Linked DNA regions of Canis lupus familiaris. The protein of the gene in region 3 binds, or shares a complex with, the protein of the main gene of each other region. Links are inferred from orthologs where the notes say so. Each region holds a gene or a part of one and is shown on either strand. Other genes may lie near its edges. The genes, in order: POLR3E, POLR3G, POLR3C and POLR3K.

What was found.
Region 1: POLR3C (region 3) and POLR3E share a complex: the UniProt entries of both Homo sapiens proteins name them as parts of the RNA polymerase III complex. The link is inferred for Canis lupus familiaris from reciprocal best matches to the Homo sapiens genes POLR3C and POLR3E.
Region 2: POLR3C (region 3) and POLR3G share a complex: the UniProt entries of both Homo sapiens proteins name them as parts of the RNA polymerase III complex. The link is inferred for Canis lupus familiaris from reciprocal best matches to the Homo sapiens genes POLR3C and POLR3G.
Region 4: POLR3C (region 3) and POLR3K share a complex: the UniProt entries of both Homo sapiens proteins name them as parts of the RNA polymerase III complex. The link is inferred for Canis lupus familiaris from reciprocal best matches to the Homo sapiens genes POLR3C and POLR3K.

The regions. Positions count from the first base shown.
Region 1 is NC_049227.1:23,568,488-23,575,917, forward strand, and holds part of POLR3E (DNA-directed RNA polymerase III subunit RPC5), read right to left. Parts: intron 6,768-7,430; coding exon 6,648-6,767; intron 5,649-6,647; coding exon 5,563-5,648; intron 5,217-5,562; coding exon 5,172-5,216; intron 5,083-5,171; coding exon 4,991-5,082; intron 4,059-4,990; coding exon 3,938-4,058; intron 924-3,937; coding exon 842-923; intron 1-841. UniProt on the Homo sapiens protein: DNA-dependent RNA polymerase catalyzes the transcription of DNA into RNA using the four ribonucleoside triphosphates as substrates.
Region 2 is NC_049224.1:18,563,901-18,571,330, forward strand, and holds part of POLR3G (DNA-directed RNA polymerase III subunit RPC7), read right to left. Parts: intron 4,033-7,430; coding exon 3,886-4,032; intron 1-3,885. UniProt on the Homo sapiens protein: DNA-dependent RNA polymerase catalyzes the transcription of DNA into RNA using the four ribonucleoside triphosphates as substrates.
Region 3 is NC_049238.1:59,288,215-59,296,098, reverse strand, and holds the start of POLR3C (DNA-directed RNA polymerase III subunit RPC3), read right to left. Parts: upstream 4,728-7,884; 5' UTR 4,597-4,727; intron 4,270-4,596; coding exon of another isoform or gene 4,168-4,269; exon of another isoform or gene 4,079-4,167; intron 3,830-4,078; exon of another isoform or gene 3,696-3,829; intron 2,675-3,695; 5' UTR 2,655-2,674; coding exon 2,508-2,654; intron 1,590-2,507; coding exon 1,334-1,589; intron 1,224-1,333; coding exon 1,038-1,223; intron 1-1,037. Other genes in the region: E3 ubiquitin-protein ligase RNF115, read left to right, coding at 4,168-4,269. UniProt on the Homo sapiens protein: DNA-dependent RNA polymerase catalyzes the transcription of DNA into RNA using the four ribonucleoside triphosphates as substrates.
Region 4 is NC_049227.1:40,884,017-40,891,935, reverse strand, and holds POLR3K (DNA-directed RNA polymerase III subunit RPC10), read right to left. Parts: upstream 4,224-7,919; 5' UTR 4,175-4,223; coding exon 4,064-4,174; intron 3,318-4,063; coding exon 3,230-3,317; intron 1,776-3,229; coding exon 1,648-1,775; 3' UTR 1,210-1,647; downstream 1-1,209. Other genes in the region: SNRNP25 (U11/U12 small nuclear ribonucleoprotein 25 kDa protein), read left to right, coding at 4,540-4,581, 5,254-5,344, 5,584-5,689, 6,224-6,298, 6,771-6,828; RHBDF1 (inactive rhomboid protein 1), read right to left, coding at 7,882-7,919. UniProt on the Homo sapiens protein: Core component of RNA polymerase III (Pol III) which synthesizes small non-coding RNAs using the four ribonucleoside triphosphates as substrates. Can mediate Pol I proofreading of the nascent RNA transcript.

The DNA.
Region 1 (7,430 bases), on a different chromosome or scaffold from region 3:
CGAACAGAGAACAGCTGGCAGGCAGTGGCAGATGGCACGTGTGCTTCGGCCAACAAGCCCAGGATAAAGTATCCACTGCACTTTGACTCCGAGACAAAAATAAACTGCATCTGCACCTAGATACTATCTGTCCAGAGAAGCTGGGACATCCAATTGGGAAAAGATGCTCGCACTCTTTTTGAACAGCTCAAGGGCTGCATGAACATGTCATGGTCACTGTGGACAGCCTAGGAGACCGAGGTCCCCAAGTTCAAAGCACAAAGCTGAACTTTGTGAACTCCCTCATGGGAGGCAGTGCAAATCCAGCAGCCGGGGTTCAAACCTATGAGAGGGATACCCTGGCCAGGACTCAGGTCCTGGATAAGGGCAGGGCATGAGGCAGGGCAATGGACTGGAGGAATGAGCTAACTGAGGAGTCGCAAAAACCCACAGCAATAATGCAGGAACAGGTAGAAGAGAAGCAGGCCTCCCGGGACTATGGAGAACACGACTGTCAGCCCCACCCAAAGCCAGAACTATTCAGGGATTTGGGCCCATGGTACCAGACTGTCCACAAGCATTCATAATGAGCCAGAAATCTGGTTTGTACCAGAGTCCACCTATGGCCTCTGGTTTGTAATCCCCAGGCCAGAGAACTCCCGTGTTCTTGCAAAGCCCAAGACTCCAGGATTCTGAGTTGAAGGACAAAGAAAACAGGGTCCAGAGCTCTGCCCCTGGCCTGGCCACACATACCTGCTCTTCTCCCACTGCCCAAGCTAAGATTCCAAAAGCCCTGCACTGGCCCCAACCCCCTCCCATGACCCTGCCTGACCAAGCAAAGGGCAGAGCACTGAGCACTTACAACAAAGTCTCGACCCCGGCAGAGCACCTCGGCAGGCACGCCGCTGTGAGGGCTGGAGGAGTCCTTGGGATACAGGATGTCACTGCCAATGAGAGCAGGAGCAACAGGTCAGTCCCATTCCTCAGCCCTTCTGCCTCCCGCAGTGCCTGTGCCCCAGCCCAGCCCAGCCCAGGCCTCTCCAACACCGGCCAGTGCAGCTTCCGTTGGGGCTTCCCGGAGCCTGGCTCTGTGAACATGTCTGTAGAAAAGCAGCACTCTTAAAACAACCCCCTCCCCCAAGAGTTCCTCCTGTCAACCCTTCTTGACTTTGCATGCACACATTAGCCTAGCCTGAGAGCCACCGCAGTCAGGGAGGACAGGGGCTCAGAAACAGGCCAGCCTGAGACAGTGAGTCCCACAGGCAAGGCAGCTGTGAGGCCTGGAGAGACTGGGCTGGAAAGCAGGACACGAGGCCTTCACCACCTGCTGGAAGGGACGGGCAGGCAGTGTGAGTGGGAGCAAGAGGGGTCAGGGGCTGGGACCTGGATGGGACTTGGATGGGCCCTGAGGCATGAGTGGGGCGGAAGCCTCTGGAGAGAAGGGAACCACCAGGCAAGCCTAGAGAACTTCAGGGCCTGGGGGCACAGGGTGCTGAGGCTTACGAGTATAACCTTGACCAACTTCGGCCACAGACGCTGTCACACTCACACCACCCCAGACCATCCTATGCCTGGGGTGCCTCTGCTCTCCTGCCCCCTCCTTCTGCTAGGAGACTTCACTCCTGCCCTCCTCAATCCTACCTGGCAACCAACTAATACCCTTCCTTTAAGGTCGAGCTCTGTGTCCACTCCCATCCCAGAAACACTCTTTGGGGACAGGGACATGGCTTATGTTGCTCATCACTGCCACACAGAGAAGGGAGCTGCTAGGTAGGTACTGAACAAATGGATAAACGTGGTGCGTGCCCTGGGCTCATCTGTAATGGTGCCCATCTCTGCCCCACACAATTCCCAAGGGCAGGGACAGTGTAGGAATGACAGTGGAGCACAGGACACAGAACAAGCAATCACGACATAGTTCGTGAACAATGTGTAAATTTTGCATCACCTCCACACAGAAACAGAAGGGACACGGCAAGAAAGGGGCGCCACCCACAGGCCACAGCATGGCAGTGAGGGCTTGCAGCAGGAGCCGAAGAACCGGGGAGCCAGAAAACACACAGCCCCAGAGGCCCCATGTCCAGGTTACAGGGATGGACCCCAGGCTGAAAGGGCAGAAGCACCAGGGCCACAGGCACTGCTGGGCCAAGAGCTCAAACCCCAGCTCCGGGACCACCTTGCTGCCAGATGTTTGGCAAGTGTCTGCCTCTCTGGGTCAGTGTCCTTGAGTGAGGGGACGGCCCCTCCTGGCTCTCACCCATTCGTAACGTAAATATACCTGGGTGGTCCCACTTAATGAGGGATGTGCCATCCAACATCCAAAGACCTTCCATAATCAAACACGTGTGTGGCACAACAGCTCCAACTACTGACAGACACTGGACAAGTTTACCAGTGCAAGGGCGCCACCAGGTGGCAGTAACGTGAACAGACTCTACAATTCACTTGGCCAACCAGCTGAAATGACAGGAGCTTCTGCAAGGAGTTAAAAAATTTGGAACAAATTTTTAAAGAGATTGTTCACCTTACACCACACCTTCTAAAAAGTGAGCCCTTACTAGTGTACCTAATGTCACACTATTTAAAATAAATATAATTCAGGGCACCCCCAGTGACTCAGCGGTTTAGCGCCGCCTTCGGCCTGGGGTGTGATCCTGGAGACCCGGGATTAAGTCTCACGTTGGGTTCCCTGCATAGAGCCTGCTTCTCCCTCTACCTGTGTCTCTGCCTCTCTCTCTCTCTGTCTGTCATGAATACACAAATATTTTTTAAAAAATAAAAATAAAAACATAATTCAGACATACATGAAATGCACCTACACTTACTACCAAGGGTCTGAGATATGCTAAGCATTATACTGAGTGTCAGGGACACAAGGTAGGGGTCAAAATAGAAGTCCCTACTACCCCCATCCCTCTTGAAAATAATGGTCTGGTGGAAGGGTCACAGAAGAGAAACTACTGAAAGGCATCAAGCCACATGCTCCAAACCCCACGGGACACATGAAACAAAACTCACACTCAGATGCATCTTAATGAACTGTGGAAAGCCACAATAAGAGAAAATCTCAGAAAGAGCCAGAGGGGACCAAGGGACTCATCACTAGAAACAATGGGAATGAGAACACAATGAAACTATGTCAGTGTGTGGAAGGGAAACCATCAACCTCGAATCCTACACTCAAGAAAAATATCTTTTAACAATAAAGGTGAAGGGCAGCCACAGTGGCTCAGCGGTTTAGCACCAGGGCGTGATCCTGGAGACCTGGGATCGAGTCCCATATTGGGCTCCCTGCATGGAGCCTGCTTCTCCCTCTGCCTGTGTCTCTGCCTCTCTCTCGGTCTCTCATGAATAAATAAATAAAATCTTAAAACAAACAATCAATAAAGGTGGAATAGATATTTGCAACCAAACAATACCCAAGTAACTCCTCCCCCCTGCAGATCTTCTTTAAGGGAACACCCCGGCAATTTTTGGCAGGAGGTAATTATCCCAGATAGAAACTCAGATGCAGAAAGGGATGATAAGCAAAATCAAAAAGAAAATATGTGAAATCTGAAGAACACTGACTGGATAAAATAACATCTTGTGGATTTTAAACTACAATTAAAAATATAGAAATAAAAAAATAGAAATACAATGGCACATGAGTTGAGAGGAAGATAAACAGAAAGCATTCTAAGGTCTCTGAATTGTACTGGATAAGAATAAAATACAGCCATTAATATAACTATGATCAGTTATGAATGCACTCTGAATCTGTAGGCTACTCACTAAAAGAACCCAGAAAGGGTAACTTCTAAATTAGCAGGGAGAAATGGAGTAACAAAAAAGGATCAAGTAGCAGGTAAGAATGGATATAAAATGCAGGACAACCAGTGCTATGGTAGACTTAAACCCAAAACATCAGTAATCACGAACTGAAATGCATCAGATGGTCCCATGCAGAGGAACTCACCTCTTCACCACCCAGTTTCCCTGGACCAGCATCGCCACCTTCTGGATGCCACGCAGAACAGCCACAGAGTCGATGGAGGGGCCTAGGAGGCTCATCAAGTTGGCAAAAGGCATGACCTTCACTGAGGAGGACACAGATGTCAGACAAGCGAAGGGGCCCTTCCTTCTCCCTCACCAAGTCTATACAGCTTCAGGCTCATGTAACCACTCCAGCGTGTGAATAACACTGACACATGGGTAATAATAAGAGCTGACTTCACTGGCTGCTTGTGTGGGCACCCCACCTTACTGAATTCTGGAGGAAACACCCCAAGGGGTGCTCCTTAAAGGTAAGACTACTACGGGGTGCCTGGCTCAGCTGGTAAAGTCGTGACTCTTGATCTCAGGGTCATGAGTTCAAGTCCCATGTTTGGTGTGGAGTGTACTCAGAAAAAAAAAAAGGTAAGACCATGACTCCTGGGGCCCAAAAAGGGCCCGGGGAAGGCCTGTTGGCAGCGAGGGCAGTGGCCTGGCACCCCAGCAGCCCCAGGCAGAGCTGGGAGCTCGCCTCTGCTCAGGCACCTGGAGATCCTAGAAGTGGTATCTCAGGAAAGGAGCCCAGGGCCTGGGATTAAGCTCTGAGGTTCAGGACTCACCCTACCCTACAGGTTCTGGCCCCCAAGTCCTCTGAAAGACACCAGTCCCTACTGGGTGCAGCCTGGTGCAGGTACCACAAAACAGTGCAAGGGAACGAATGGAGCTCATGTTCACGTGCAAGGCTCTGTAGAAGCCATGAAGAAGCCTCATCTCCGCCCTCAGGAGCTATCCTAGTTCCCTAGTCTCGGGAACATCAGTGGCCTGCCCAGGCTCACAGCAGGGCAGTGGCCCAGCCAGAACGAGAACAGGAATCAGAGCCTGCTGAGGGAGCCCAACAGGCCACTGTGGTGCATTCCTTCTAGGCAAGGCCAGAGCCGTCAAGCCAGGCCCATGCTGAGTCCTTAGTCTGTCCTAGAGTCCATTTCCCCAGGAGGTGGTAGGGCTGGGTTCCCCCTGGAGGAAGTGGGTGTCCACCCACCATTCTTCATCAAGATCTTGATCTGATCAGCCAGGGGCAAGGTGCGCAGCTGGGCCATGGACAGGACGTTGCTGGGGGCCACGGGTTTGTCTCTGGTGAAAACAGAGACAGTGGGTTAGAGGAGAGGGTAAGAGGAAAGATTTGGGGTGGGGAGGGTGGCATCTGGCCCAACTCTACTCACTTCTCCTCTTCTGGGCTGGGTGGCATCAGCATCATGAGGTACTCACTGCAGTGGGGGAGAGGGCAGGGTCAGCCGCTCCTGGGCTCTGCCTGCTCCACCCTTGCCCACAAACCCAGACCCCACCAAGGCTGAGGCCTCCCAAAGGAGGGCTGGGGGTAGGTGGCAGACCCACACCCACCAAGACCTAGCTCCCCCACAACTTGCAGAGAAAGGACGACAACCTCTTTCCACACCCACCCCCCGGCCCTCTCCAGAGGGAGGGCCCCCTCCCATGTCCATTTCCCCTGCTACAGAAGGGGCCACAATCCCTAGGAAGGCCCCCACACTGAAGGGCACCCCCAGGGCCAGTGGTAGGCTCGGTAGCTTAAGACCCTGGCCCAGCCGGTCCCACCTGGGTGACTTGACGAGCTCTGTGTTCTCAACCCCACTGGAACCCTGGCACAGCAGGTACTGGCGCTCATGCTCAGAGCGGCTGTCCTGTGGGGGAAGGGGCAGGGTGGGAAGACCCTCAGCTACCACTCCAGGCCTGCACCACCCCCCTAAGATCCTTTGCACTCCAGTTCTTACCCCTGCATCACCTTCCACTCCAGCCGCCTACTGTCCTGCCACACGGCCAGCCAGAGGATCATATTCAACCACCTGAGCATGGCATTCAAGGCCTCTGTGGTGTGGCCTCAACCAACCATTTCCAGCTTTACAACTGAGCAGGCCCAGCAGCCATGTCCTAGGTGCCCTGCCTGTGACCATTACCATAGGACCATTAACAGCAATGACAAAGTAACAGCTAACAGCCACTGAGCACCTACTACATGCCAGGCTAAGTCCAATGGCTTCATATACACATCAACTTACCTCATGAGGTAATTTGCCTAAAGCCACACACTAGGAAATGGCAGAGCTTTCGATGTCCGATTCTAAGGCTCTGCCAACACCAATCTCTTTTAGGAGGTTCCAGAGATCAGGAGTTGCTGTTCCCTGCCCCCCACTAGAAAAATGTTGGGGAGGCCTAGGGCATCTTTGGGTTCAGCTCAATTGCTTCCCTTACTTGATGCAGCTTCAAGGATTAGGTTCTAAGCCAGCACACGAGATGGAAACCTAGTAAAAAGCATGCCTGGCAGATACACGGTGAACTCAGCCAGTGGCCGAGGGCCGGTTCTCCACGGAGCACCTTCATTCAGGATCCATGATGCATAAAGCTAAGTAAGCCCCACCCAGGGGGTGGCAAGATGCTCACATTGAGAGCCTAAGGGATGTCAAAATCCCTGACCCAGGAAACAGCCGACTCGTTTCCCAATCTCCTGCTCCCCCCGGGACACATGCTAAGTGGACCAGCTGTCCACCAGACTTTATCCCCTCTTGCTGGCCTACCACCAAGTGGCCCTCACTGAACACGAAACCAGTTCAAGATGAGCCACTGAGGCCACACAGAGCCCCGGGCTTCTCTCCCAGGCCCGCACCTCAGGGACCCTGGCTCACCCTCAGGCCATAGTAGTGCAGGTGCACCCAGGGCTCTTCAGCATGCTTCTTCTGCAGGAACTCGTAGGACTGCACACGGCGCTGGCGGGCCTGCTCGGACTCTGGACGCGAGAACCGCACCTGGGAGGGGGGCGTGGCCTCAGGCCCGGGACCCATCCTGGGCTGCTGTCCCAAGTCACCAGGGACACCGGAGAGCCCCACACCACTCCCACCTCCCCATTTCCCGACACAGATCTCTTAAATTCAGTTCCAACCACATCCCTCTCTGTGACTTGCTGACACAGGCCAGGGAGCAGCTTTCTTTTGCTCCTGCCTGCCCAGTGCCCAATCCATTTCCACTGCCCCTGGTAACAGGACCCCCATTTTCTTTGGGGAAATGCCCAGGTCCCCCTCAGTTCAGGGGAGCAGATATCCCTCCCCTGCCCCCACCCCCACACACATTCCCAGCCACAGGAGTGGGCACGTGACTCAGACCTGGACAATCCGAGCACCAAGTCCTCTTAGCCACAGGGGCTGGTTCAGGGTTGGCCAAGCCAATGAGTCCAGTCTGGGACTTTAGTTAGAAGTAATGAGAAAGAAGTTTCTTTTCCCCTGGGGTCTTGGAAGCTGGGAGGATGTGAGCCTGGAGCTGGGACAACTCTGTACCACTGGGGACAGACACCCTGCCTGAGAAAGAGGCCAAAAGAGGAAGGCAGAACCTGGAGATGGAGATGGAGAAACCAGGTCTCGATGACAGAGTCTGAGCACCTGAATCCAGCCATACCTGAAGCTACCCCTCAACTT
Region 2 (7,430 bases), on a different chromosome or scaffold from region 3:
TTTTAATATATAAATTTATATAAATAATGCAAGATATATTATTCAGATGTAGATTTCATTACTTTGTCTTCCCTAAACACTGTAAGTTTCTGTATCCAGTAAGTTTCCATAGCATCTCTAGGAAGATGGCGTGGTTTCTCTGGTGCCGAGAAATCCAGTAACATCTAGAAGCCTGGCTGTAGCCTGGAGCTAGTGTACAGAGGAGGGGTGGCATGGCTGAGAGTTCAAATGAGATCATCTTGTAAATGAGATTGGAAGGTTACCTCACTATTCCAAATCAAGCATATACAACTTATGCTTCAGATGTGAGCACCTCCAAGTATGTTCAGTCATTCACCTTAGGTAATTTCATGATGTTAATAATCTTGATGCAGGTACAAAGTGAGAACTTCTTGAAACTGATGGCTTAAATGGTTCTTGGCTTTCATTTGAACCCTTGCTTTTTTCTTTAATTACATTATTCAAAAGACCGAAGAAAGAAAAAGTCTGCATTTCTCTCATTTTACATAGAGGTGTTACATAGATAATTTGTTCCATTTACTCTTCAAAAATAATGCTTATCAAATTCTCAATATGTCCAGTAAGTTAGTTAATATGAATTTTTCATTAATTGCTAAAAAGGGCCAAGATGATTTTAAATCTAGAAAGTCTTTAACTGAGCTTCCCTCTCCATCTCTCACCCAGCCTCATACCCAAAACCTATATCCTTTATTAAAGTGGAAAGGTTTTGTTTGTTTGTTTTGAATGAAATACATTTATATAAACTGTGCTTAGTACTCTGCTAAAGCCTAACATGGAATTCTGAAATTACTAGACCTCAAGCAGACTTTATAAACAGAGCATTCCAAAAGCCAGTCTCGTCTAGAAAACAGGCCACTACCTACTCAAAGACAATAGCATGGCACAACCCCTAAGACCAGTTGGGACAACCAAAAATGTTTCCAGATATTACCAAATATACCTTGGTTGAGAATCACTGGTTCATAGCAACAAGCTTTCAAGCATGATTTAACCATGGCTCCTTCCAATCCAAGCAACCAAGGTTTCTAATATACAAATATTTGATAAAATCACTCCACTGCTTTAAACCCTTCAAAGGCTCCAAAGGCTCCTCATAGCCCGCAGGATAAAGTCCTATTGCTCAGCCTGGTATTTAAGATCCTGTATTTGTCTCTTCCGCTTCACATCTCCACATACTCCCACTTGGACTCTCTAGTCCAGCCACATTGACTTACCTGGTCCACACTGTTAGGCTACACTCTCATCACCTGCAAAACTTCTCCGTGCTCTTTCCTCTATCTGCAAGTCTCTTCCCATCCATTTCTCATCTTGATCTGATTAAGTCTTCAGACTGTCTTCTGTGAGATATCTTTTTCATATCACTAAAACGGAGCTTGGTGCCCCTCTTACGTACCCCTATGGCATCCTCTACTATATTACACTATAGCATTATTCAATGTATTGTAAGGGTCTCCTTTCTAGTATGTCTCCTCACTATACCCATATCCCTGATGAGAGAACTGTATCTATCTTGATATTTCCCTTGCCTAGTACAATTCCAAGCATACGCTTGGTGTACAATTATTATACGGTGAATGAAGAAAAATGAGGACTAATAGGTGTATATACAGGGCAACTGAAATTTTGGCTAGGGATGCAGTCAGGGAGATTGCAGAGAGAAAAGGAAATCCAAGCAAAGAAGTCTGAAGAATACTGACATTTAAAGATTAGAAAGAGAAGAACTCAAAAGAGACCATGAAAAAGTACCAGAAATAGGAGAAAAACAAGAAGTGTTGTGTCACAAAAAGCAAGAAAAGGAACAATGTTTGCCTATGTCTTGGCATGCAGCACAATGCCTGGCATATAGTTGATGCCATAATTGCCTTAAACTGTTGAATTTAAATAAAGGAAATAATATTTTAATAATGAAGTTGTGAGCAGTGTTAAATGTTGCAGAAAAGTGAAATAAGGACTAAAATTTGTCTATTGGTGAACTTGGTGGCAATAATTTCAATGGCATGTACATGGAAATCACATTAAAAAGAACTAAATGGAGGAGGGTAGGGAGGAGTGAGCAAGTGAAGCCAGCTAAGCGGCTTTCCAGGAGATACCAGGACACCTGGAAGAGAATGTGGGCAACATACTTTATAATGAAAGATGAACATATTTTAATGCATGAATGGAAGCAGTAAGTAGTAGGTAAAAACCCTGAAAATATGAAAAAAGGAAGGGATATAAGGATTATAGATCCCCCAAAGGCCAGACAATTAGCTCCAAATAAAATGAAGGCTACTTCTTCCACTGAAAATGAAGGGGGAGGAAGAAAGACATTTAGTTTGAAGGCAGATGACATGAAATTAGGGGAGTTCCTTCTATATGGCTTCATTTTCTGTATGAAGGTATTATCTACTAAGAAAGGCAGTCAAGGAGAGGGATTACGAAGAAAAGGGATGATCTAAACTGATGTAGACAAATGACTTGATAAGAGAAACAGAGAAACCAGCATGTGAGCCAGCCAACAGTGGCTAGTGAGTATTGTTTTTGTGGCATCAGTTTCTGTGACTCCTCAGAAAAGTTCAATAGGTGGTTTGGAGGGGAGACAGTGGAATTGATCAAAGGTTACCTTGTTCTCAAGGATGTGCTGAGAGGACAAGGGATGAGAGTAATGGCAAGGAAGCACTTAAGGGTGAGCAAGGGTCTAGGCCCCTTAGGGAAGGAAATTGAGACAGGGAACTAGTAAAGAGGAAATAGAGAATCAGAGGTCTGGCAGTCTCAATCACATCAGAGTGCAGGGATAAAAAAGTGAATGATCTGGAAAGAAAGTTGGAGACAATAAGACATGTTTAGTTTTAAAATGTTTAAAACTTATCTGGAAGAATAAAGAATACTCAGGAAAATTCTCCCTAGAAACATTAACAAATAATCAGAAGCTTCTGTTAATTGGAACAGCAGAGTGATAGTTCAAAAATCAGGTCCCAGAAATATATCTAAATAGAAGTGGGAAATCTAATAGCTGATACAGGGGAATTTCAAATCAATGAAGAAAGCAATTTATTTAATAAATGAGGTTAGCAGCTGGCTAGCCATTTGGAAATAGATAAAAATGGATCTGTACCTCTCCCTTTACACTAATGTAAATTCTAAAACAAACCAAATTTAATGTAAATGAATAATAACGATTTCATAGTTATAGCAGTTTCAGGTAAAGTAAAGATTCATTGTCCTGTGAGAGGCTAAAATGGAGTGAAGACAAAGTTCACTGCCATGGAGAAGAAAGGAGAAAGAAACTAGGGTTACTGCATGAGGTATCTACTAAGTCCCAAAGATGCTGTGACCAACAAAGTTACCCTGCTCAAAAATATCCTTATTTGCTCTAGCTTATTTTGAAATGCACCATGCATGTTTCTAGAAGTTAGAAATCCCAAATCCAAACTACTAAGTCCTAACTCAGTCAAATACTTGAGGTTAGATCATAACTGTTCTCTGGCAGGGTCCATATGAACTTTGGGGCTTGAAACATGATGATATTCCAAGGATTTCCTCTTCACACCCTAAATGACTAAGTCCTTAATTACAGTAATGGCATATTTAAATTTTTATGTAGATAAATCTTAAAATAATCAATCAATTTGTTTCACTTATGGACTTCCACTTAGGGTTGCCTATCAACTTATTCTCACTTCCTATATTCAGTTTGGTATCATTATTTCAATGCTATAATAATTCTCTTGAACTAAGGAACTGATACCAGGGATAATAACATATCCTTCATTGCCATTGACTTGGTTTTGGTTTGTTAATTTAATTATATAACATATATCCAATTCCTTATTAGATAATCCGTAAACTTTGTAACTTTGTTACCCACCCCAAATAAACCATTACCTCTTCTTGCTCTTCTTCATCATATTCCTCTTGTTCTGCAGCATCATCGTCCTCCTCCTCATCACCTTCTTTACTTTTCTCTTTGCTTCCTTCTTTCTCTTCATTTTCCTCATCTGATTTTTCACCATCACCTCTCTTTTCCAATTCCTGGTATAAATGAACTTCATTAATTTAAATGGAAACCACTACACTTTGACCTCCCTGCTTAGCCTCAAGAAAACAGTTACCTATAACCTTATTCTAATCCTCCAGACCACTACCTAGGAAACTGTGAATTCACTCAAGAAAGGAGGAACTCTCTGTCCTGTCATTATACTAGTATTTTCATTGATTTTGTTACTTTATAATTAGGTCTCAGGTATTGTTGGGTATCGGCTCTAAGCACAATGACTTATTTTTATGGTTTCTATCCTACCTTCTTCTAAAATGTTGATTTAGTTTATAGAGAGAAACTTTCAGAATGCTACTTTGTTATCTTTTCAATATGAAAGGAGAAAAGAAAATATAACGGTAACATTTCAAAAATATCTACATTTTAAAATTTTATTTATTTATTTATTTATTTATTTATTTATTTATTTATTTATTTACTAACTTCTATGCCCATCCTGGGACTTGAACTCACAACCCTAATATCCAGAGTCCCATGCTCTACCAACTGAGCCTGCCAGGTGCTCCTGCTCCTATGTTTTAGTTTATAAGAGAGAGAATTTTTTTTTAAAGATTTTATTTATTTATTCATGAGAGATATATACAGAGAGAGAGAGAGAGAGGCAGAGACACAGGTAGAGGGAGAAGCAGGATCCCCACAAGGAGCCCGATATGGGACTTGATCCTTGGACCCCAGGATCACAACCTGAGAGCCAAAGGCAGATGCTCAACCACTGAGCCGCCCAGGTGCCCCAAAGAGAGATCATTTAAAACAATTAATACATAATCATTTGGTGTGGATTATCCTGCTTGCAGATTATCCCCATCTTTCTCTCTGTTCTCCTTCATTATTTACTTATTTCCAGGAATTTTTACTTCTTAACATATCTGGCAGATTGAAGAGAAAGAGATTAAAACTTTAATCTTTGCTAAAAACAAAACAAACAAATAACAGTTAAAACCACTGTCAGGCACCTGAGTGGCTCAGTTGGTTAAGCGTCTACCTTTGGCTCAGGTCATGATCCCAGGGTTCTGGGATAGAGCGCCACATCAGGCTCCCTGCTCAGCCAGGAGTCTCTTCTCCCTCTCCTCTCCCTCTGCTCCCAGCCCTAGCTGTGTGCTCACTCTCTTTCTTTCTGTCTCGAATAAAATAAATAAAATCTTAAAAAAAAAGAAAATAAAACCACTGTCAACATTAGCACTTCCTAGCAACTCAGGAGGCAAAAGAGAGATGTTGTTAGGAAACCTTGATTGCTTGATGGCTTCACTTATTCACTGTTAAAATCACTGCTACTTTCTCGTAACAAATTTAACTTTACAGTTACATCTTTAAATTTCTATGACTACCAACATTTCTTTCCCTTTGATAAAAAAGGGTCTGTTTTCATTACTGTCACTATCCATTCACTAAATTGATCTATGCTTAATTTGCACGAGTGAGAGAATTCCACAAGCTTTATAGGAGTGGATACAACAATAATTTCATATATTAATACTCATACTTAAAGCACAGGATCACTTTAGCTAAGATATGATTATTCTTAAACAATAATCAGAACGTTAGTTCATATAGCTGCAAATGCTCCATCCTATTATATTTGCTTTGTAGACTACATATAGAGAGAAAACACATTTTGTATCTGGAGTGACTACAACTTCGCGATTCCTTTATTGGCTCTTAAATATTTATTTTTAAAATCTCTTTAATTACATTCAAGTTTGAATTTAAGGAGATCAAAGGCAATAAAAACACTACATCAGATAGATTCAATTTCTAACCAAAATTCAAGTTTCACCTTTCGTACTTCACTCCACTGAGGCAGAACAAATAAAGTCAAGGTAATGTAGACATAAGATGATTTATCTTCACACTGACCTATGCTGCCTTATATGAGTTATTACTACAATATACTGTGTGCAGTTTTTCTAACTGATAATCCCTTTGGGAAATTGCAAGTAAACAAAATAGTGTTTATAGATCTTCTAAAGTGTCTATAAATATATATATACACATACCCACACAGAATGATGCTACACCAATATTAACATATGGACTTTTTTCTTTTTTATTTTAATCAAATTGCAGTAAAGAGGCCTACAACCCACAAATTTTGTGTAGTTAAAAGAGAATCATAGTGCTGTATTTATTAAGTACACTTTAAATGCACTGTGCAAGGTATATACTGTATCTGAAAAATCCTATTAGCTATTATTTCATAATTAACAATAAACTTATTTAACCAGTTATGGAATATGTTTTCAAAATATAAAAATCATTCACTGCTCTGTAGGACTAGGAAGTCTTTATTTCCATTACTGTCACCTCAAATATTTTTAAATAAACAACTTTATTTGTATCACAAAGACCCAAATCAAATCCATAAAATACTTAAATCAGTTAACCATAGCAGATTTATGCAATTAAAAAAAATGATCTCAGAGCCACACATATTGTCTTATTACTTTTTTCTTTTTGCACTTAGCAACTAGTTTTGGCTTATCTACTTATTAGTCTCCATTTTCTTCTCTGTGAGATTTAACTATATACTGGCACTATCTTACAGAACAATGTGATTAACACATCGTGGAAACACTTTGCAAACAGTTAATTTATAGAGAGGGAACAATTCTTCCAGTTTAAATAATAAGCAGCCACCCTGTAGAGACAGCTTCTTCTAAGTCAAGCAGATAAAAGCTCAAATATTAGTTTACTGCTGTCTGATTATTCACACATTAATCATGAGATTTGACTGTTCCCTTCCTCTCCACCCACAGACGTTTTATTACAATAAAACTTGCAACTACTTTTGCTGAAGAACAATAACAGTCAGCGAGATGCTAATTTTGCTCTTTAACTGAGAGAAAATAAAGCTAACTCATTTAGATTTCCAGATTTAAAACTCCAGTTTTAACAATGTGCAAAACGAAAAAGGTGTTCAAGTGTAGAAAATCGGGAAACACAATTTGTTCTGATGAGAAACCACATCAGATCAATCTTCCTTATTGCACAAGTCATCTTAGCAACTTCTTTCCGGGAAGCTTTAAAAACAGTAAGACTCTGTTCAATCAATACAGGTTGGCTAGTTCTGCAACCCCATGCATCATCACTCCACCACAGTTACACCTGACCGTTATCACTATTCCTTCAATACCCTCCTGGTATTATTTTCAGACATGTTACTTCCAGCTCAAGTACTGGCCAAAAAAAGCTCAAAAATAAGAGTTTCTGTTACTATATAGCTGTGCCAACTTGACCAGGCAAGTAAAAGTTTTAAAGCCTTGACCTCCTCATCTATAAATAAGGAAAAATAATACACACCTCTCTTTGTTGTTATGGAGTCCTCAGGACATAATGTATAGAAATAGCTTTCATCAAAGAGCCTGGTACATAAGTT
Region 3 (7,884 bases):
TAAAACAGGCAAACAGTTATGCTACATCTCATATGAAGACAGGAAATCACTGAATCTGAGAGCAGGTTTCCCTCTATCCCAAGACATCTCCAGCTGCCTCTAGGTTAAAGTGGCTGGGGAGGCTGAGGAGCTCCAAGAAATTCGAAGTAATGATGAAGTCATTTGAAGCTCAACATATTCAAAAAAGAAAGTTCTAATCTTTCTACCTCAAACTGTTCCTGTTCCAAACGCTTCCTTTCAGTGAGTAGGACCATTCATCCTCCCCCCACATGCAAGTCAGACACACAAATGTCATTTAGTACTTCTGTCTCCTTTACCCTTTCTGTATCTAATTTTTCACTGGGTTTGTCTACATTTTACCTTTGCCCTATCCTATCTACAAGCAGGAAAATCTTTTAAAAATGCAAATTAGATCATGTCACTTCCTTTAAATCCTTTAGTAGTTTTCCTTTGCTCTTAGGATAAAGAACAGATGCTGTCTGTATAACGTCTTGTATGATCTAGCCCCTATCTTTCTATCCTCATCTCATGGCTCTCTTTGCTCACCATGCCTTAATTACACTGACCCATCTTTTACTTCCTCAAATATCCTATTTTTTTCTCATTGTACACTATTCCTTTTGTAAAAATATTTATCCTCTGTACTCCTTCATACATTACCTCACTGGTTAGTTCCTGCTTCTGTTTCAAATCTTAGCTCAACTGCTACTTTCTCAGAGAAGCGTGTGCTCTAAATCCTGAAAAATTTGGTTCCCTGTTACATATTTTCATAACATCTCATACTTTTCATTCATAGTACTAATCAGTTTCTTAGTTATACATCTATCTGATTATTTGAGTAATGTAACTCAAGTCTTTTTTATATTAGTCTTAAGCCCCAAAAGGTCAGGGACTTGTTTTTTCATTTTACACCACAGTATCTGGCATAGAGTAAATATTTGGTAACTGCTTGATCGATTCATTCACTAATTTAACAATCTTTGAAGAAGAATCCACAACCAGGGCAAATCATAGTTTCAGGGGTCAAAATTCCTTACCGATCAAGCTCAGTTTTGGAACCAGGTACATGTCCTTTTCACTGATCACAAGAATGGGGGCAGGTGGCAGTGGCCCTGGGTCTGAATTCTCAGTGGCAGGCACCCAGGGGCAACGCTGTACAAAGTGTGTGTCTGCTAGTCGCACAAATGTGTTTGATACCTCAGCATAGTCCATGGTCTTGCCATCTGTACAACAGGATGAAAGTGGCAGATGAGATTGCCTAAGTTAGCTGAAGTTCCAGTCCTGCAGCCAGCCAATCTACGCTTTTGCTAACAGCTATGAGTACAGTACTAACCCTCCATAGTCTCTGTGAGCCGGTCTGCCACTTTCTTCACAACAGCTGACATTGTCATTTTGCCATTCAATAGCAGCTCCTCAACAATGAGTTCTCCGGTGTCACTGTACAGTGTTTTGGCAGTATAGATGTACCGGGGATACCTAAGCATTCGCAATACGCGGCTGCACTGGGCTTCATACTCCACTACACCACGTTTGTGCACTTGATATATCACCAGGTTATGTTGGATAAGCACACAGAGGGCTTTTTTTACCTAGATAGGACGCAAAAGAAAGAAAGAAAAGATCTGAAGTCATAGCTCATTTTTGTTGCCAATTTTTGTCTAATAATTTACTAAGAGCTGGCTAAGGATCTCTGTGCTTCTTCCCTCCCTCCATTTGGATAAGCTATTGAGAATCACATGTCAAGGGGCACCTGGTGGCTCAGAGATTGAGCGTCTGCCTTTGGCTGGGGTTGTGATCCCTGGGTCTTGGTATTGAGTCCCTTATGGGGCCCCCTGCTCAGCGGGGAGCCTGCTTCTCCGTCTCCCACTCCCCCTGCTTGTGCTTTCTGTCAAATAAATAAAATCTTAAAAAAAAAAAAAAAAGAATCACATGTGAATGGAAGAAAACAGTAAGATTCCTCCCTCTGACACTCATTTCCTCTGATCATTCAAAGTATAATGTGGGGCACCTGGGTGGTTCAGTTGGTTAAGCATCTGACTCTTGATTTCAGCTCAGGTCATGATCTCAGGGTTTTGACATAGAGCCCCTACATCAAGACAAAGGCTGAGGGTGGAGCCTGCTTCAGATTCTTTCTCACCCTAGCCGGAATATGTGTGTGTGTGCACAGCTTCTCTCTAAAAACAAAACAAAAAAACCTTTCGAAGTACAATGTACTTCCCCTCCGTTATTCTTATTCCTTAAAGGTAGCACTGAGATTAATAGACTTATTATGAATAAGCAAGGTGTAGCATATTAGGAGCAAAGATTTGCCTAAGAAGCCATGATGAACCAGGAATACCTTGAGAGCAGAACCTTGAGGCCTACATCTTATCCCCCCCTCATTCCCCAAATAACACTGTTCTGATCCTAGGGCAGACTTTCTCTCTTTTTTTGTTTTGTGGGGTGGGGAGGAATAATATTTAAAGGTAGATAAAGAATGAAAGCAAATTAATGCCGTCCACACATACCTGATCCAGTGATGTTCCTGTGTCATGGGCAATTACTCTTAGTGGCTGGCTGCCAGTCCTGATTAGGTGGACTCCAATTTTTTCTACAATCTCTCCAAAATGCTCTTGTAGCAACAAAGAGCAAAGTTTAATTTCTGCTTGAGTCATTGTACTGAGAAGTCTCAGAGCTAGAGGGAAAAAAGGCCATATGATGGATAGTTTTCCTCTTTTGTTGGAAGTAGTGCAAATTCGTGTACTTTCTAGATGGCAATTTTAACAGTATATCTTTAAAAAATTTCATTTTAGATACTGTCTCAAGAAAATAAAAGTCACTGTAATTTCCCTTATTATACTGATATGCTGGAAACAACTGAATGTCTAACAATAGGAATTAACTCAATAAATGATGGCATACCCATACATTGGAATACTAGCCACCATTTAAAACAAAGTATAATACATATGAACATAGAAAATTGTTCCTTAAGTGAAAGAAGCAGGTCACAAAGCAAAACGTAGAGGACAATTAAATCATAATGAAAAACAAACAAACAAAACCGCAAGAAAAATGCATAGAAAAAAAGACTGGAAGACTATATGTCAAATTTACTTTAATGGGATTATGAGTGATTCTAATTTTCTTTAAAAGTTGGGTGTAGATGATTTTGCGATGTCACGGACTTTAGATTCAATACTCCATTGCTTGGAAGAATTAAGGCCACTGTTCACGGCCGTTGGGAATGAACAGGTAGTGTCACCTCAGTCCATAAAGGAAATGACAACTTAGAAGAAGAAAAGGAGGCAAAGGAAAGCTTCTCAACTGGGTGTTTCAAACAGGAGATGAAGTATGTTGTCTGAAAGGCAGTATTTAATTCTGAAATTTCTACTCCTTGAGAAAGTAAACATACACAGAAACAGACACAGCTGACCCTAAAGTATAATTACTTATTATCCCAAGGGCTACCAAGCATCGAGTTGTTCAGTTAGTCTCCCAAATCCCCAGAGGCCAAGTCTCCGCCTCTCAGCTCTATATTCCCATCCGCATGTGCTTGGGGAAGCATCCCGGACCCTGTCCCATCCTGCAACAGGACTTCCAGGGAGCCTACTTAGCTCCCGGCTCTTCACTCCCTTCACGCAGGTCCCCGTTCCAGACTCGGTCCCCTGGTCCACAGACAGGGCCGCTTCGTCAGGGGAGCATTTTCCACTAACCTCGGGGTCAACGCAATCTAACAATGCGGCTTCTTGCGGGTCCCACCGGCCGCCGGGGCAGAGGGGGAGCCCACGGCCCTCCCTCGCAGGCGGACGGGCAGCCAGGAGGAGGGAAAGGGGAACCACGCGTGCCGCTCTACCCCGGAGTTTCGGTGGTTTCCGGTGACGCTCTTTCTTTCCTCTCGCTGGAAAGCTGGAGGACCGGCGAGCCGCTGTCTGAGGAGCCGGCGGGCAGGCTGCGGCGGGCGGACTCTCCTTCCTGCGCCTCTTTGGTGCCGGGAGGCGGGCCGCGGGGTCGCCGTCCGCGCCGCCGGCTCGCTGGGCCCGGCCGACTCACGTGACCGACGCGGCCTCCGGCGGCCCGCCGCACTTAGGAAGCGGCGGCGGCCGAGGCGACGACCGCAGCCCGGAGGTAGCGGCCTGGCGGGGGACGGGCCGCTGCCCTCTCGGACGGCCGCGGCGGAAGAGAAAGATGGCGGAGGCCTCCGCGGCTGGCGCGGGCGCAGGCGCCGCTGTCGCCGCGCACCGGTTTTTCTGCCACTTTTGCAAGGGCGAGGTCAGCCCCAAACTACCGGTAAGAGCCCCGTGGCCCCTGCGCTTGGGCATCCGCGGGGATCCTTCGCCCCGCAGTCCCCGAAGGGGTCTTCAACGCCCCGCACAGCCCGGATTTTTCTGACACCAGCCTTCCAAATGCCCGCTGCCCGCTGTTTTCTGGTCTCCGGCCCCAAATCCTGGGCGTCCCGGCCCTGGCTCCAGAGCTCCCGCCCAGCCCTTTTCCCCTTCGGATGTTCCACCTGCCCCTCGCTCCCACCCGGCCCTTCACCTGCGTCGCTTCATCTTTTTTTCCTCTCGCAGCAAGTTCTGACAACTCTCCCCTTAGTTTTCTTTCACTCTTTCTTACCTTGTCTCTATCCCACAATGACCTCTCTTTCCCCCCTCTCGATATCTTCTGCACTTCTCACCTTCCTCTACGGCCTTTTTCACTTTTAATCGGACACCCCCGCCCCCCAATCCCCAGGGGAGCCAAATAGCGGATTGCTGAGGGTTGTCCCTGTTCGCTTGTCTCTAGGGAAGGAAGGAAGAAAGCGCGGAGAGAGAGAGGGTTGGAAGGTAACTGTGGGGAGGTGAGGATTTTGCTCCTCAGTGGTTTCCAGGGTTCTTGTGAAAGTGAAAACAAGTGTGCTAATGACTTGCAGACTGCCTTGTCCGTCCTATCACTATTGAAGGAAATGGCTTTAGGAAGAAGTCAGGACATGTTGTCCTGCTGCCCGTGTTTTAGCATCACCTCCCTTCCCCGCCCCGTTCCCCGATTCTGTCTCTTCACTTAATAAAAAGACCCATGATAGAATGCTGGGGACTGGCTCCTCTGACATAAGATTGGTTTTCACCAGTTTCTGCCAGATTGTCTGTTAGCCCCTGGAGAGTGGTGCAATCGTTGTGAAGAATGTGCTTCTACAGCAGGCTAGCCAGCTACAACCCTCCAAACCCAGCTCTTGTGTGTTGGGTTATAAGCTACTACAGGGAGACCCACAAGAGTGAATGTAGACTCTACCCTTGGCCAGCCATCTTTAGAATTAGTTATGGTTGTTCTTTTTCTTGGAACTATCCAGCCTCAGCCTTAAGACAGGGGGGCTATATAACAACCCACCTCTGTATTTACTGTGTCTCAGATACAGCCTGTGAGAAATCCTACTAAATGTGTCTGCATGCATGTCTTAGTTTTTAATTTTTTTTTAATTTTTATTTGTTTATGATAGTCACAGAGAGAGAGAGAGAGAGAGGCAGAGACATAGGCAGAGGGAGAAGCAGGCTCCATGCACCGGGAGCCCGACGTGGGACTCGATCCTGGGTCTCCAGGATCGCGCCCTGGGCCAAAGGCAGGCGCCAAACCGCTGCGCCACCCAGGGATCCCTGTCTTAGTTTCTAGAAACACAAATGGAGTCTAGTGAATACATGCCTCAATGGTATTTTAGCTTCTTCACCAAAAGTTGTGCTTTTTCATGCTTTTAGGGCATTTTCTTTCCATTTGCCCCACCCCATCCAGGGTCATAGTTTCATCTATGTGCTATGTTACTTTTGCCTGCTGGTTCAGCTCTGTGTGTGTGCAGGTTTTTTTGCCATGTTTCAGTGCTAAGAAGAGCAGGTGCCTTGGTGTCTTGTTTTTTGTTTTTTTGTTTGTTTGTTTTTGTTTTTTCTTTTGCTAGTGGACAGTAGAGCCTCCAGAACTCTCTTTAACCACAGAGAGGAGGGTCTTGAATTCAGCCAGTACTTGTGTAACTAGTGACATGCTGAATGTGATGCCCTGTTGAACATTGCAGTCTTCTGATCTTTAAGTGCTATTCACTTTGCCTTTAAAAATAAGTCTAACTTTTCACAACTTATTATATCTTCTTAACATCTCAAGTCCCCACTTCGTGCTCTTGAAAAGGGATAGTTTGAAAGATGTGGTAGGAGTTTTTTATAAGCCTTAGTTTAATGCCCAGAGAAGTTCTTTTTTTTTTTTTAAAGATTTTATTTATTTATTCATGAGAGACACAGAGAGAGGCAGAGACATAGGCAGAGGGAGAAGCAGGCTCCATGCAGGGATCCCAATGTGGACTCCATCCCCTGCCTTGGGATCACACCCTGAGCCGAAGGCAGACGCTTAACCACTGAGCCACCCAGGCATCCCAAGAGAAGTTCTTGATCTTTTTAGTATTGTTTATTATCTGTCATACCTGATGTCTAAGTTGAATACTGCATACATACAAGGTTCTCATCTGAAGGTCCTGGAGACAATACCAAGGAATATATGGTTTCTGCCCTCAAGGACCTCATAATTATGTCGGAAAGACAAGACAAACATGGAAAAAGAAACAATATACATGAATAGGGTGGATATAGTATGTGGTTAAGAGTTTAGTGAGAGAGGGATACGGTAGCATTGGTGATGTGCAGGGAAGAAGTTACAGTTCAGATAGGATTTAAATTGAGTTTTGAAGGATAGGTAGAATTCAAATTGAGAATAGCACAGACTGCTGTAGAAAAGAGTAAATTGAGGGAGAAGGAGGAAATATTTAGTAAAATCATTGTTGTCATGCATTTTTAGGAAAAGGTGCAATGAGGTCAAGATTATAATTTTGATTCATATATGAGCCAGTAAGTTTCATGTTTCATGGCCATTTCTAGATCCTTAAGCCTAAGCTGTCACCTTGAACATGTTCGTTGTAAGAATGATCAGGTCAGTAAGTATCTGGTTCAGGACAAATCTGACTGCTATTGAAAAACCAACTCAAACCCTGGAAAGTCAGTAATATGATTTTCATACATATAGGAAAATGTTGAAAGTTTTATGAAAGTAATTTATGTGAACTTGAGATTCCTTCACTATAAGTTCTCAGTGTACAGTAGGCATTCATTGTTTCTTGAATTGGACAAATGTTATGGGAAACCAGATGTCTTTTTGAGGGTAGCCAACCCAGGTTATCTGGAATTAATTTTTCTTTGTTTTGATTTAATTTGCATCTCAAAAGGGTGCTTACTCTTGTGCTAGTTGGATCACAAGAACTCTGAACACCAGAGGTGGAGTATTGAGTTTTACTGTCAGCTTTTAATGAGCTTTTGCTAGGTGGGTTTCTTGACTCCGTCAGTGGAAAGGACTGCTTCCTTCAGAGCCATCTCATCTTTTACCAGTTTATTCCCCCATAGAATCATAGTGCTGTTCACTGGGATTAAGATGCAAGGTTTTGGAACTCTTATTTCTTCCTCAATTCTAGTGTATAGCCCTTCTTGATATGTTTGGAAGTGTGTGCAGGCAATAGCAATAGCTTACCCAGTGGTTCAGCCCTGAAACTCTCCTTAGGTTGCTGTTTATTGTTTTTCTTGTCAGTACTACTCTGAAAGATTTACATGCCCAACTAACCTTAATGTCTGTATTAAAAAAAATAATTTTGGTTATAACTTCTGAGAGAGAGTACACCTAATGCTATGTAGATTAAGCCAAATTCAGTTGAATTAATTTGGTGAAGTAACACGTCTTACTGCTAAATCCTGATCCATCCATTTTAACTTTGTGTGTCTTTGGTTTGGATCCTCCTAGATAAGAGAACAAGAGAGTCATTAGAATAAAGATACAAAGAAATGAGAAATCAAGCAAGAAGAGAATTTTAGAATGAAAATATATTTAGTGGTACTGTTACCATTACTGTTA
Region 4 (7,919 bases), on a different chromosome or scaffold from region 3:
CACCTGGGTAGCTGTCAGTTCAGCACCTGACTTGATCTCAGCTCACTTCTTAATCTCAGGGTCATGAGTTCAAGCCCTGCATTGGGCTCCAATGTGGAGCCTACTTAAAAACAAACAAACCATCACCATCGTGCCAAACTTAAAGATTATTCATGTCTGGAAAAGATACCGTCTCAAAAATGTAAAAATTTCTATCAGAGGTATAAATTTGCATCCCATGATTTCACAAGTGAGACTTCATTATTAAGAGATTTAGAAAAGTAATTAGGTCTGAGGTCCTGAGCAAAAAACGAAACTATCCACAAACTAACATCCTACCCCGCTCCAGTCCAGGATGTCCTTTTCCTTTTACTAATAAAAAGATGAAGGGCAGCCCAGGTGTTTCAGCGGTTTAGCACCGCCTTCAGCCCAGGGCCTGATCCTGGACACCAGGGATCGAGACCCACATCAGGCTCCCGGCATGGAGCCAGTTTCTCCCTCTGCCTGTGTGCCTCTCTCTCTCTCTCATGAATAAATAAATAAGTTTTTTTTTTTTTTAAATGAAGGAAGCATAAATATAGTCTACCTAATAAATTTATTGCAATCCTAGGAAACAAGAACAGAATGATAAATTGAAAAGCATGTTATCAGTATTCTGTTACCAGGAGAGCCCTAAGCATGGCAGTTGTTTGATGTCTGCTTCTCAAAGCACTCAAAACAATGAGAAAGCGGTCTCTTGCTGCAGCAACACGAGTGGGAGGACCCAGCACTGGACTCGGGGTGGAACTCCACAGATCGCTTTAAGAAATAGCAAACTGGACACGGGGGAAATCGCCAGCTTCGATAAGGCCAAGCTAAAGAAAATGGAGACGCTGGAGAACACCCTGCCAACCAGAGACCATCGAGCAGTAGAAACGGAATAAAATTTCCTAAGCATCTAGAGGGTTCCCCACCCACAACATCTTCGAGACACCCGGGTCGTGATGTAGAGGAAGAGCCACCTGCGAGATGGCCACGAGTGACAAGCTGTGCTGTGAACCCAGGCACTCCACGCTGAAGGCTGCCAGCCTGCAGGTCTCTGAGGGCCGCCCCCCAGCCCCCACCCCGCCCCAGTCAGACTGCCAAACTCTGCAGTTTACCCTGGGATATTATAGCAAATTATTTGTATGATTAACGAAAATAAAATATACTTCTTGGCAAAAAATTAAAAAAAAATAAACACTAGAAAAGCAGTATTAGACTTTCCATTTTAATTAAATATTCAGAATAGATAGTGATAAGTTTACAATTAAGTTAAATACTTAGATACATCTAATGTCCTACATTATAACATTTTACTTTATTAGTTGTGCAATCAGAGTGCATATTTAAGAAGGATAATGGTGAAAAGATGTCAATTAGCCAATATACCTACAAGATCCACAAACAGGATATTAAAAAGAACACACTTACTTATGTATACCCTTCCCTGCACACACAATCCCCCTGGATATAAATGAGCTCATCCGCTGACTGCCAGATGGGCTGGTACCCTGACCAGCTCCCGTGAAAGGGTTAGCTTTTGGCCACATCAGCAGAGACAGTTCAGGACAAACAGTTCACACTCCTGGCTGTGAATCCACCCTAGGGAACAAGGTAGGCAGACAATGACACAGCTGGATCCTGGCCCTAGTCCCTCCAGCGGTGTCCACACTGAGCATTGCAGCACTTGTAGAAGGTGGTCATCGGCTCGTCTGCAGAGCGAGTCTGAAGCTGCATGAAATAGGCACGAGGATGTTCGCATTTAGGACATGACTCTGGCAACGAGAAAAACAAGTGACCCACATTATGCTCATGACCAAACACACCTGCTAGAAGTAGGTAGGTATTAACACACCAAATCCCTCCCCGACCCCAATCATCTGGCATCCCCTGCCTAGGGCACCTTGCGCCATGACTGAAAGGCTGTAATTAGTGGCATCATTCCCACTACACTCTCACACTGAGGGGACTTGTGACCCTGGAAAACACTCCTGCTCCCCTCCCTGAGTCCCATTTTTCTTCTCAAATCTGGTTGAAGACTAGCTGGAAATGTGACATGAAATGTGGCTTATGGCTACCATGTGCATGATGGGGTCCACTCTGGGCAGATTCTTCCAAGTGCATCTCCATCACCTAAGCCCTCTCAACTTCCTGGAGGAGCCCCCAGGGGATGACAAATCCACTTCCCATTAAATTTAGGGATCCATCTCGGCAGCAGTTCCTCAGGCCGTTCTTATGAAGACCTCACCATACAACCCACACCTTTGCCAAATACCTCAAGGCAAAGTGACTTCAGTTCGGGAAACTGACCCTATGCTTGATAATGCCTTCAAACACTCACAAACAGCACTTTGAACATTAGGTACCAAAATCATCTTCTTTTCTTTCCTGGCAAATTCTGCCAATGCTAATTTTACCATATCAGATTTAGATGTTCTTCTATGGGGGAGAAAAGATAATACTAAACAGGAGTTGGGTCTTCCTCCGCTCAACACAGATGTGTTTAGGGCTCTCTTCTTTCCTTCCCTGGTCACATCTACCTCTATCAGACAGGAAACAAGACTTGAAATAAACATGTGAATGCTCTCTGCCATCAGCTTTTAAAAATCTACACCAGGAAGAAAAATAAATAAATAAATAAATAAATAAATAAACAAACAAACAAACGAATGAATGAATAAATTAATTAATTAAAAATAAAAATCTACACCAGGGATCCCTGGGTGGCTCAGTGGTTGAGCATCTGCCTTCTGCTCAGGGTGTGACCCCGGGGGGTCCCAGGATCGAGTCCCACATCGGGCTCCTGTATGGGGCCTGCTTCTCCCTCTGCCTGTGTCTCTGTCTCTGCGTCTCTCATGAATACATAAATAAAATATTTTTTAGAGATAATTAATTTTAAAAAAGATCCACAACTGAACAAATGGACCATATACTCTTCCTTAGGCTCCGACTTTCATTACTGCCATCGGTTGCTCCCCGCACAGCCGCCACTTGAGGACCACGCTAGAGGCCAAGTGCTGCGGGGCTCCCTTCACGCTCTCACAACGGAGGGAGGCCACCAAGGTCATGCGATGTTAAGAGGCTGTGGCTTTGAGACTAACCCACACCTGTACGTCTCTGGGGTTTATGCCAATATTGCCTGTGTAAGAAATAAATCACTAAAGAAGAAAATACACACGCTATTTTTAGGAGCTTCCTTCCTCAAAGGCAGCGCGGCCTCAGCTCTCACCTGCGGTGGAGTCCACGTTCTCCCAGGCCGCCGCGCCGCCGAGCACATCGTCCACTTCTTTCAGCTTCGGGTACTTCCGGTTGGTGACCTGGCGAAAGGCGGCAGGTGTTCAGGCCGCGGGTAGGGGCGCGGTGCTGACCCGGCCGCCGACTGCCCTCCTCCCCGCGGGCTGCACGATCCTGGGCAGCCGCGTCTCTACACCCGCGGCGCAGGGCTCGGCCCGGGTCCAGGGGCTCCAGCGTCGGGCCGGCCCAAGAGGCGGATGCAGCCGGGACCCCCCACCCCACCCCGTCCACGCTCGGCCCGGGCCCTCCGCGCAGGCCCCCGGCTCCGTCCCGGGCGTCGCGGCGGCGGCCCCAACTCCCGCGGGCAGCTCGGGGCGGGCGGTGCGCCGCGGCTCCGTCCAGGGCCCGGGTTGGGGCCGCAGCACCGACCCCAGGCACGCAAGTCCCGTAGAGGCGTGTCCGCAGGTGACCCGAGTCCGCCAGAGCCACGCTGCTCGGCACGACCCAAACACGGCGAGGCTGCGGGCGGGGCGGGGAGGGCAGCGGGAGCACGTGCAAAGGCCCGGCGGCCGTGTCGGTGCGCGGCGCGGGCTGCTCCCCGGGGGCTGGCGGCGTCGGCCCGGACCCGCAGTCAGCCGCGCCAGCGCACAGGGCGGGCCTGATCCGGCCACGGCTCCGACGAGGCCGCCCGGGCCGCCGCCGGGGACGCCGCCACGGGAGCCGGGTGAGGCCAGGCCGCTCCCGATACGGCGGGGGGCGGGGGCGGGGCCGCTGGAGCACCCCGGCGGGGCGGGCGTCGGCTGCTGGGCGGGGGGCGGCGGGTGATCACCTTGCGCGTGATGTTGTGCACGTAGGGGCAGGTGTTGCAGGCGAAGCGGTGGCAGCGCTGTCCCTCCTCCACGATCAGCCCGTTCCCGCAGCCCGGACAGAAGAGCAGCATGGCTGCCCCGCGCGCTCCCGGCAGCCCCTGCGGCCGCGGGGCGCCGGCGTCGGGCCCGTCGCGAGCTCCCATTGGCCCGGGCCGCCGCCGCCCCAATGGCCGGGCCGGGTTGGCGCTCCCAGCAGCCCCTGCGGCAGGCCGCCTCGAGCCTCCCATCGGTCCCCGTGGCAGCCCCGCCCCTCGCGGCCGGAAGCGGCGGCGGCGCGGTCGGAGCGCGGGGCTGGGCGGGCGCCCTGGAGCCGGCGGAGGCCGAGGCCGAGGCGGAGGCGGCGGCGGCGCGGCCCGAGGCGCCCGAGGCCGAGGAGGATGAAGAGGAGGCGCTGCCGCACTCCGAGGCGGTGGACGTGTTCCAGGAGGGGCTCGCCATGGTGGTGCAGGACCCGCTGCTCTGCGACCTCCCGATCCAGGTGCGCGGCGGGACCTCGGTGCCTGACCTCCCCCTGTGGGCGCCAGAGGTGACGATGCGGCGGGCCTCGATTCTCCCGTGTCCTTTAAGGACCTCACTGACCCGAGCACGAGCGGGGGCAGCAGGGGACAGGGACAGGCGGACGGTCGTCCGGTCCCAAGGCGGACCCCGACGGCGCCCCGGGCGCCCCGGGCGCGGCTGCGCTGCAGGTGCAGGTTCTAAGGTCGTTTCCGTAGTTGAGGCTCAAGTGGGGAGAACGGCTCCACCCCGGGACTCCGCATCGAGATTCGCGCCCCGCCCGAGGACGTTCACTCCTGGGTTGGGCGCCCCGGTCACCCTCGCACACCGGCCTCCCCTCCCCCCCCCGCCCGGTGTCGCCCTGGATCCCGGACTGACCGCGCCTCCTCCTTCCCAGCCCCAGAGCCCAGATCTGGCGCTCACCCTCTCCTGTTTCAGCGCTCCTCTTTTCCTGAGCTTTAATGCACTTTGCACATTAAACACTTTTAAAATGTAGGTGCAACCGGGAAACCCTAGCATAGAAGTAAGAAATCTTGTCTCTCGTCTTTCGTAAGATACGGCACTGCTTTTCCGATGCTATCCGCTTGTCTTGTCTTGTGGTTTGGGATAGCAAAGGCAGCCAAGGCTCCCACCTCCACCATTGGTCTTTCTGCAGGTTACTTTGGAAGAAGTCAATTCCCAGATAGCACTAGAATATGGCCAAGCGATGACAGTCCGCGTGTGCAAGATGGATGGAGAGATAATGCGTAAGTGCTCGCCCTCTCCCTGCGGACCCTGCAGTCCAAGCTGTCACGCAGACAAGACGCTGCCATGGCTGCTCAGGGGAAACTCAAGAGCCATGTACGTCGAAGGGCATCGGGGCAACCACAAGCCTACCCCACCTGAATTTGAGCCTCCGTCCAAAACAGTCTGGACAGAGCTTCTGGTTCCTTTCCTGCCGTCCTAGGCTGTGGCTGTGGATCCTAACATGGCTCTTCTCCCGCAGCTGTGGTTGTGGTGCAGAACGCCACAGTCCTGGACCTGAAGAAGGCCATTCAGAGATACGTGCAGCTCAGGCAGGAGCGTGAAGGGGGCATTCAGCACATCAGCTGGTAAGTGGAGCCACTGTTGCATGTGTGCCACAGAGCACCGAGGAGTTCCCTGTCCTGAGCGTCCCGGCGCGGTGGGTGCCACGGTGCCTGGGAGTCCTGCCTCAGTTCTCTTTCATCTACATCACCTCACCCAGGCAACTGGGCTTCTTAAATGGGGGCACCTTGGAGCATTTCCAGCGTAAGTGGTCTCCTTGGTTACAGACGGTGCAGCTGCCAGCGGCCCTACCCCATCTTCCCCTGGGTGGTCTCCTCACTCCTGCAGCATGGGTCGTCTCTGTCTCCGTGCTGTAGCCTATTTCATTAGGAAGGTGTGTTTGGCCCCCAGCCACCCCACACGGCTCTTTCAGAGCGGTGCCTCTTTCGAGCTACCTCGGGCCTGGTGTGTACAGGGTACAGGACAAGCCAAGAAGAGGCTGCCTGCCCTGGGCCCCCCAGAGCTGAGCATCCCGAGCCCATCTCACACACAGCTGCTGCGTCCCAGCTGCCCAATCACCCTGCTTGTGGTTTACCCAGATCCTCATCTGGATTTTGCAGGTCCTATGTGTGGAGGACCTACTACCTGACCTCTGCAGGAGAGAAGCTCACAGAGGACAGGAAGAAGCTTCGAGAGTAAGTTCACACCACATTTTGAGCTGCAGAGAGGCACCTGGTCTGTTGCCCTTTAGTACCCAGGCTCTGCCAGAAGACTGGGGCCTCTTCCGAGGGAGGAGGAGTCTTAAATCAATCACTGGAGAATTTGCAAGACCAAGAGAGTCCCTGGCTCAACCAACACCCTCCTGCAGGGAGGTTCCTGAGGGCTCTCCCTACTGGAATGGGAGGCATGGGGGCAGTGTGAGTACTGCTCACCAGTGGTAGAGCGGGGCTTCCTAGAGCCAGAGGAGGGCAGTGTGTGGGAAGGTGAGAGGCTGCCTGCTGGCACGACCTAGGTCCGTGAGACGATGGCCACTGCCACTCCTCACCTTCCCAGACACAAGCTGTTCCTACCTTTTTTTTTTTTTTTTTTAATACCCTCCCAAGTCTCAGGTGAGGCTCCACACATACCTTCTGCAAATCACACACTAGAGCTCTTCTTCTTTTCTAGTTACGGTATCCGGAACCGGGATGAGGTGTCCTTCATCAAAAAGCTGAGGCAGAAATGAACCTCCAGAAAGACAATTAGGTGCTGGTGGCCTGCACCCAGCTGGAACAGAGCTAAGCCCTAGGTCCAAACATCCTAATCACATGGCAGATGGACCTGGCCCTGTATACAAAATAAATCGTTTGCTTCTTAGTTTGAAAAGTCAAAAAGCCACAGTTCCTGGAGCAGGAGGGACCGCTGCTGCCCAGGCACAGAGGGGAGGCAAGGGCAGAGGATGGTGCAGGTGAGTCCTAAGGTCCAGAATGCTTCCACTTGAGCCCTGTGGCCAAATCATCCCCTCGCGATAAAACCTTTTTACTGTGATTTCTACAGCAAGGGGAAATAAAAGCAGATGGCCGGCTTTCTGTGTGTGCTTCTGCAGAAACGGGGGCCGTGCACCCACCAGCATGTGGCTGAGGTCTCCAGCCGTGGCTCACAGGGTTCACCTATAGTGACACACTTCACCCTTTGGCTCCTGGAAAGGGAGGTGGCCTGGGGCAGAACTTGGAGCTGCTGGCTGGAGAGGGAGGGCTGGGGTCAGAGTGCCTCTCCGTGTGCCAGGCGGCAGGGGTGGGGGTTGGGGGCGGAATGAGACAGCACAGCCGTGGGTTCTTCTCTCATTGTCAGCTGCCGGTCACCCTGGGGAAGGGGGCAGGAGATAGCCGTCCACCCTGCTGAGGGACTTCACGGGGAGGTATATCTCACACTTAACTTCCCTGTTCTGGGGAACTGTAAGGTGGGGGGTGTTGCGCGCAGAGGCCTGAAGAACCTCTCCCTCCATGGCCCTAGCCAGAAACCAGAAAGACGAGGCAGCTCCGGTAAGTTAGTGGCAGCTAAAACGCTCCCAGTCCATTTATTGGCCACCTGAAGTGGTCGTCAAGAAACTAGTTAGAAGATAATTGTGGGAACTAGTGTAGTAAATGCCCTGAAGCACGATAAGTTCACCAGGGTGAACAAGGCACGAGAGGTCAGGGCCCGGCAGCAGGCAGGACGCAAGCCCTGCGCAGAAGGCCCGGGGCGGGCCAGGGCAGCTCTGGCCTGCCGGTGCGCGCCCCGGGCCCAGCGGCCCGCCGACTCAGTGGAGCTGGGCATCCAGCTCGTACTTCTCGCAGA